Linked DNA regions of Sus scrofa. The protein of the gene in region 1 interacts with the protein of each later gene in a biochemical or structural test. Links are inferred from orthologs where the notes say so. Each region holds a gene or a part of one and is shown in the gene's direction. Other genes may lie near its edges.

Region 1 (4,169 bases):
ACTGAAGAACCATAAACAACACAGAGGTCAGTCCGGTGGTTTAAGGGAAGGCCCACCATCGCATTCTCTGAATGATTTTGACACTCTTGTAAAACAACTATACAATGAATTTCTGGAATTAAAGAAGTATCCTTTCTCACTCCATGCACCCTCTCCCTCTCTTTTTTCTTTGGTATTGTCAGACAGCAAAGCATTTTAAATAACGGAAATGGGATGCAGGTGGGAGGAGATCAAACTTCAAAATACCTATGAGAGTTGCATTAGCTGCTTGGCACAGGCAATCTAAGCCCCCTCATCAAATACAATCACTTTAACAGAAAGTCCATTGTGGAGTCCCCATTGTGGCGCAGTGGAAACGAATCCGACTAGTAATCATGAGGTTGTCGGTTGGATCCCTGGTTTCGCTCAGGGAGTTAAGGATCTGGTGTTGCCATGAGCTGTGGTATAGGTCGTAGCTGCCTCTGAGAACCTGCACTGCTGTGGCTGTGGCTTAGGCCAGCAGCTGTAGCTTCTATTCAATCCCTAGTTTGGGAACCTCCATATGCTGCAGGTGCGGCCCTAAAAAAAAAAAAAAAAAAAGAAAAAGGCATATATATATATATATATATGTTCACTTTACCTTGATCATTTAGGCGGTACCTTACTGGGGGAATCTTGTATGAACTCCTGTATATATATATATATATATATATATATATATATGTAAAACCATATTCAGAATCAATCAATGCCTAGGAAGCAACTACTATGCCTTCATATCTTTTTTTCCTTCTGTAAAGCAAGACTAATTTTGCAAATATATATTGCCAGGTTGGCTGTTTAGACTAACTAAAACAAATACAGACGCAGTGAGAGTTCCAGTCTGCCGAAACTAGGGTGAAAATTTTTTTGTGGCTTTTCATTTGGGCGACCTAAAGACAAAAAGATAACAGATAGAGTTTGAAGGTATTGGTGTGAAAAATTATGCCTGGGGGGCCAAAACGAAAGTAGAGACAAGATGGAAGCAACAGTTTCCAGGTTGGAATTAAAATTTCCTTTGTTCACAGAGCAATCCCCTTTCAATTTCACTGTGCCCTCCCTGTCTCCTAACAATTCTTGCTTCATCAGTGTCATGGGGTTCCCAGGTTTTCCCACATTCATCCTAGCCGTCAGAGTAAAAATCTCTTTTGTGTCTCAAAACTCCAGGCTAAAGTCGCGACTGCACTTAGCCCGAAAAATGAATACAGCTTTTAACACTCGTGTAAAACATTTCAACTATAACGCTGTAGCTTTCTACCTGGACCTGCCACTCGAGAACTACAATACCCAGAATGCACTGTTTCCCCTTCCGCCTTCTGCCTCTGCAAAGCCTAACTTGATCTCATTTCCACCTAGCAATAGTCACATGACACATTTCCTGTCAAGATGGCGGAAAATCTCCCCTCGGAGTTTGATGTGATCGTAATAGGGACGGGTATGTGTGGCTATGGTACTCCCTGGACAAACTGTAGGAAGTCTTTCCCGTTCCTACCCTCTCTGTCAGTGGCAAGGGTCGGCGAGAAATGTTGGGGGTCGAGCATAAGAGGGAGGACGGAAAGGAAGTGAGGTAGTCTGGAGTCAGCGCGGGACTTGGCAGCTCCAGGGAGGGGCTTGGACCGGCTGTGCTTAGCGCCATTTGAGTAGGGGTCGATCTGGTCGATGCCGATTGCCGAGGTTGGTTGCTGCGGGTGATTCCTGTAATTTCCTTAGAGGGAGGTGGGTGTACAGTGTCATGAGAATGGAGGGTTGGGATTTTATCAATGGAGACACCTTTGGCATGACATTATGATTTCCTTCTTGTGGATTTCAAGGTGATCCTCCCCATCATTTTGTCTCGCCATTCGTAGGAATTTTTCATATATTTATAAAGTTTTAGGGTGCAGTGCAGCCCGGATACAGCGTGTTAGTTGTTGCCCATGTACGTTTTAATTTACTAAAGCGAGGAAATGGATTCTTTTCTATTGTCTTGAGAATCCTAGGGGGTTGTAATTTTTTGAGGTAGCCATTATTCCTGCTTTATGGTGCTGAAAGAAAGCGTTTTGTTTTCTACCACTCACTTATCTACCCACAGCTAAATTAGCTGAGAACAAGCGTGTCCAGTTCAGGTGTGTGATCTTATCTTCCCCCTTTTCTTCCCCATCGTTTATTCTCCATGTTTTGGGTGGTGACAGAACTTCCCCTTCAATTTCTAGTTGACAAATTACACGTTACAGCATGTGGCAGAAAACATTTGGCAGCAGTTCATGTATTGTTTTTAACAATGTAAAGGATGGATTTTAGATGGAGTGAAATAGTTTGTAGGGAGGGGTTTTCTCCTGTCTGCAGAACGTGGTAGGCTGGAGAAGCTCTGGTGTATGAGACCCTGTCCATTGTGTTAATGAATTCAGTTCATTGTCTTCTCAAATAGTAGGAGTGGCCATGTTTCCAGGTCGGGAGTAAAAATAATAAAACTGTCTATTTTCGATTGTGTATTACTGGCTAATTGATGTGCTAAGCACTTTACAAGCCATATGTAATCCTCACAACAACCTAGTTAGAATAGGTCTTATCTACACTTTACAGAGGAGGGGAAAAGGCTTGGAGAGATCGCAGTTTGCATAAGATCACACAACTGGTAAATTTCCAAAGGCCCATTCCATCCCAGAATGAGAATAAGTGGTTCTGACCCTCAGAGTTAACCCATATGAATAGAAATAATTGGAAAAACTTGGTTCTAGACCCTGCTTGGCCATTAACTAGCTGTGTGAATTTCTAGAGCTAGGCACTTAATCTCTCTGAGTCTCAGTTTCCTTGTTTTTGAATATAGGAAGGCTTTACTGGATAGCCTTTCAGGTGTTGTCTAACTAAAAATTCTCTTATTCTTGTACATGGGTAATTGTTCTCAAAACAGCAAGGACATATTTATTCTCAACCTGAACACCGCATGGCTACAGATAACCTTGCTGTAGCTGCTATGAACAGATGTTGGATGAGAGCTGGAAGGGTTCAGTTAGACTCTATTCTCTCCAGTCTATCCTAAAACTTGGAACAACATCTGCTTTAGAATAGTTGTTATCCATACTTGGGTCCTATGTTACTCCCTTTTTTGTTGTTGCTACCTCAGAACTTAGGGTGTTTTAAAAATTACCTTGAGTCCTTGCGATTTTTTTCTTATCTTGATTAAAATTTTAATTGATGAGTGCTAATTCTTATTATTAAGTGCTGTTAATTCTTATATAAGAAATATTTTGCCATCTAGTTCAGTTTATAATATGGACTACATCCATCCTGTTGGAATCTCATAAAATAAGAGAGTTAGGAAGATTCTGTGACTGATCCAGAAAATTGCATTAGGAGGCATCCTGGATATTTGGGAAAAGATTCATCTTAGACTTATTTCCATGAGAGTAAAGTTATTTCTCAAAGTATGGGGAAAACTTATTTGAAGTTAAAAGTTTTTCATATCACTTAATGAACACATTTTTATCAAGTACATTACTCAAATTTATGATATGTAGCTTTATTTTTAGGTATGTCAAAGTGGAAAAATTGGGTAAAAGTCATTTCCCAAATAAATGAATCCAGTAACCCCAGTCATTAATTAACAAGAATTATTTTAATGTGTTTGGAATATTTATCTTCCAAAATAGTTTGCTGAAAGTAGCCTTTAAAATGTTTTGCGTGGGGAATTTCCGTTGTGGCTCAGAAGGTTAAAAACAGGACTAGTATCCAGGATATGGGTTCCTCCCCTGGCCTCCCTCAGGGGATTAAGGATCTGGCGGTGCAGTGAGCTGTAGGTCACAGACGCAGCTTGGATCTTCTATTGCTGTAGCTGTGGCATAGGTTGGCAGCTGCAACTCCAATTTGACTTCTAGCCCAGGAATTTCCATATGCCACAAATGTGACCCTAAAAAAAGAAAAATAAAATGTAATAAATATAAATACATAAAATAAATAAATAAAATGTTTTGCCTTACTAAATGTGCTTGCTTGAGTAAATCATAGAAAAAGTAGTATTTTAAAGATTCAGTTGTATTAACAAAAGTGGAATTAATCATGCCTGTATTAGAAACATGAAGAAATAGGCAATGAGATGCAGTTTTAAGAGAAAAAGAACTAAAAACAGATTTAGTTCTAGTTAAAATGTTGAGACAATTGCTTCATCAAGTAAA
Region 2 (4,129 bases), on another chromosome or scaffold:
GCTGTGGTATAGGCTGGTGGCTCCAGCTCCGATTGGACCCCTAGCCTGGGAACCTCCATATGCCGCGGGAGCGGCCCAAGAAATAGCAAAAAGACAAAAAAAAAAAAAGCCACATCAGATGGCAAAGAGAACACCAAAACTCTATGCTCATAACAACTTGGCTAGGTGGCCAGGACAGGGATCCTCTCTGCCCTAGCTTCATAGGTAAGTAAAAGACTGCCAAGGATAAGGGACCTACTTTTCCCAAGTTGTCTCCATTTTTGAGGCTGGATTAAGGCTTACTGTGGTAGCTGTGGTAACTGCTCAGTGTGTTGTAGCAATTATCATCATTACTATCATCCCAGATTCCCATTTTTCAGGCTGAAAGCCATTTCCTCACTTTTGGTGCAGAAGGGACAAAGATGCTTCTCGGTGCCTCCAGCCCATTCCCTCTGGTACTCCCCCTCTTCTTCCCTACCTCATCTCTTTCCTCCCCTGAGGGGCCTGGCCTTAGAAGCCCCAGTGTCTGTCCCAGGAGGCTGCAACAACTATGAGGGTTGGGCTCCGTTACTTTACCACCTTTTTTGCACACACCTGACAGGGAGAATGTGTAGCAGTTACAGTTAGTCAATCTCTCACCCCAAACTGTCCCCAATACCAGCTATTGGGGGACTTTGAGCCTTCCTCCCTGTCCTCACCTGTAAAACGAGCCTCATAGGGTTGTAGACCAAGTGGTACACATGCTGTAAGGGGTTGCTGTTCTTACTATTACGAGTGGGTAAGAAACGGAGATTTAAGGAGATACTGTGATTGGAAAACTCAGTCCTTGCAATTGCCCTGCCCATTAGATAACGTCACCCCATTTTATATAAAGGAGGGACCTCCGGGCCACCTCCACTAAGGTTGAATGGGGAGGGCAAGGTGGACGCTGTTTTCTCATCTGTAAATGGCAACAACAGCACGGGCCTTTCCGACACGGTGACTAACAGATCACCGAGCCCATCAAGCCATGCTGGCTCAGCACACAGCGCCCGCGCCAATGCCAATACACACGTTCCCAGGCCACCGCAGCCGCGCCCCAGCTCGGCTCACAGGTCCGGGCCACGCCCCCCGAGAAGACCCGGAAGCAGAGTCCCCCCGCAGGTCAAAGCTGGCGATGCTGCTCCTGTACCGCCGCCAGAGGGCATGAGCGCGGCCTTTGTTGGCTTGCACCTCGCCAGTTACGTCAGCGGCCGGTCGCGGAAATAGAGGGGTTTGCCGTACAAAATGGCGGCTGCCTATGGGGCGGTTCGGAACGCTGAGAAGCTGTTCTGTTTCTGGGACACGCGGCGATCCTGGCGTAGGGCTTGCAGCAGGCTTCTAGCCAAAGACGGCTCCCGCGGAATTTCCCGGCGCCTTTGTTGTCAGTAAGCGGCAGAAGGCACAAGATGGAGGCGTTGGCTGGGCGGCCGGAAATGAAAGTGAGCGGCGGCGTGTTTCCCTCCCCACCCGGCTCCCCCGCCCTCAGAGCGCCTCGTTGGGCCGCGAAGTCAGCAGTGACCCGGGGTCTGAGCTATGTCCCTCCTTTCTGAGGCGTGACCTGCCGCGAAAGGTACAGAGTGAGAAGCCGAGCCCAGGAAGTGTATGGGGGCCCACTGTTGCGGGCTTGGTGTTTTCCTTTAAGACTCACGGGGCCTCGGTCTCCTCGAGCGAAGACGCAAATCCCGAAACGTTCCATTGGGAACGACATGTGTAAGGCTCAGTGCGGGGCTCCAGGTTCGCAGGTTTTCTTCTCTGGCCGCGGGGTCGCCTCAGAGTGACGCTTAACCCAGGAGGCCTGCCGGGAGGTGGGGCGGCGGAGCGGGCTGCCTCTGAGCACAGCGTCGGGTCGGAGACCCTTTGCTTATTTAATTAATGTGAAACACATCCTGTGTAAGTTTAAAAAACACTTAATATCGGTGATATACACACAGCGTGGAACTTAACCATCTTAGTCGCTTTCGAGTGTGCAGTTCAGTGGCATTAAATACATCGCGTTGCTCTGTGATCAGGCTCTATATAAGTTCATTTTGCCGAAGACCGAAGCTCTGTACCCTTGAAAGGGTACCTCCACATTTGTCCCTCCCCAGTCCCTGGCAACCACCGTTCTTTCCTCATACAGGAGGCCTGGAGTGTTTGTCCTTTTGTGACTGGTGTGCATCACTGAGCATAAAGTCTTCAAGGTTCACTCGCGCTGTAGCACGCTCCTTTCTTTTTCAAGGCAGGTTGATGTTCTGTGGTTTTCACGAGCCCTGAAGGGTAGCGGAATAGCCACCCCAAGTGTGCCAACTTGGCACGCGGGTTGCTTTGAGCCAAAGGCAGTCAGTATCCAGCAATATGAGGGAAAGCCTGTAGCTCTCCCTTAACTGCCTAAAAGAATTTAAATAAGGACCAGACCAGAAAAAGCAATTACCAGAGAGAAACTTTTCTATCTAAAAGACTTACTTGGGGAGTTCCCGTCGTGGCGCAGTGGTTAACGAATCCCACTAGGAACCATGAGGTTGCAGGTTCGGTCCCTGGCCTTGCTCAGTGGGTTAACGATCCGGCGTTGCCGTGAGCTGTGGTGTAGGTTGCAGACGCAGCTCGGATCCCGCGTTGCTGTGGCTCTGGTGTAGGCCGGCGGCTCCAGCTCCGATTCGACCCCTAGCCTGGGAACCTCCATATGCCGCAGGAGCGGCCCAAAGAAATAGCAAAAAGACAAAAAATAAATAAATAAATCAAAATAAAATAAAATAAAAGACTTACATGCATGGCAGGACAAACATCTAATCACCAAGCCTCTGCCCTGCTCTTCTCTTCTTGTGAGTGGCCCTCCTCCCCTCTGAAGCTCCAGCCCCAACCCTTCCCTCAGCTCAGGAGGGCAGATAAGCCTCACTTGCCTGACTACCTTCTTATTTTTATAGGGCTCCCATACATATGAAATTAAGTTGGTTCCTTGCCTATTAATCTTTTTTATGACAATTTAACCATTAGACTAGCCAAAGAAATTAGAAAAATAGAAGGAAAATTTTTCCACCCTGACACCGCATTTTATTTATTCATCTGTTCGTAGACACCTGGTTTGCTTCTACTGTTTGCTACTGTGAATAACTCTGTGAACATAGGATGGACACACATTTTTACATGAACTAATATCCAGTAGGGTTGCAGAGAGGAGAGTATGATTTACATATTTAAATTTGATGAGGTAATTTTGAATCATAAATGAAACATTAAGCTGTTTACAAGATCACTATAAGATTTTAAATGTAGTCAGTCATTGTGCATTATGGGCCATGGCGTAGCCTGGTGATGGGACATGGATTTAAGGTGCTGTGGTGATTGTGGACCTCCCTTCAGCCCTGCCAGCAGGCTTGGGGGAATTTTGTGGATAATCTTACTTAGAGATGGCATCGAAAACCTAAGGAGTAGGTGCACAAATATAGGAATCAAAGATCCATAACAAAGGATTGTGAAGTGACATTTTGGAAGCATCTAAGGCCTGATTTATTCATATGTGAGGCGTGGGAAATTATGGTATTCGTCTTAAGGGGTTATTGTGGGGATAGCAGAGTCATGGTGGATAAAAGGCTCACCTGGCCAGTAATAAATGTTGGCCATGGTGTCTGTGGACATAAAAAAATGTTCATAGTGTGCAATTAATTTTTTTTTTTTTTTTTTGGCTGCACCCAAGGCATATGGAAGTTCCCTGGCCAGGGATTGAATCTGTCACCAAAGCATCAGACCGACCCTGCCCACCCACCCCCACTGCAGTGACAACTGCACCACATGAGAACTCCCTGCAATTAATTTTTAAAAGGCAGTACATCTGGGTGAAGGGTACATGGGGATTCTTTTTACTATCTTTGCAACTTTTCTGTTTATGTCAAAATAAGTTTAAAAAACACATTAAAATAGCATGTAAAATGGAAAACAATTTTGAGGAAAAATTTTTGCCCACAAAAAAGACTTGATATTTTTATATCAAACATGCTAATCATGGAGTTCCTGTGTGGCTCAGCAGTAATGAATCCAACTGGTATCCATGAGGACTCAGGTTGGATCCCTGGCCTTGCTTAGTGGGTGAAAGGATCCAGTATTGCCATGAGCTATGGTGTAGGTTGCAGACTCGGCTTGGATCTGGCCTTGCTGT

Evidence for each region.
Region 2: the proteins of CHM (region 1) and RAB7A are reported together in a solved structure, tested with the Homo sapiens proteins (2 studies listed by BioGRID, with this or other methods). The link is inferred for Sus scrofa from reciprocal best matches to the Homo sapiens genes CHM and RAB7A.

Annotation. Positions count from the first base shown.
Region 1 is NC_010461.5:69,063,485-69,067,653, reverse strand, and holds the start of CHM (rab proteins geranylgeranyltransferase component A 1), read left to right. Parts: upstream 1-1,369; 5' UTR 1,370-1,404; coding exon 1,405-1,453; intron 1,454-4,169. UniProt on the Homo sapiens protein: Substrate-binding subunit of the Rab geranylgeranyltransferase (GGTase) complex.
Region 2 is NC_010455.5:71,883,932-71,888,060, reverse strand, and holds the start of RAB7A (ras-related protein Rab-7a), read left to right. Parts: upstream 1-1,302; 5' UTR 1,303-1,439; intron 1,440-4,129.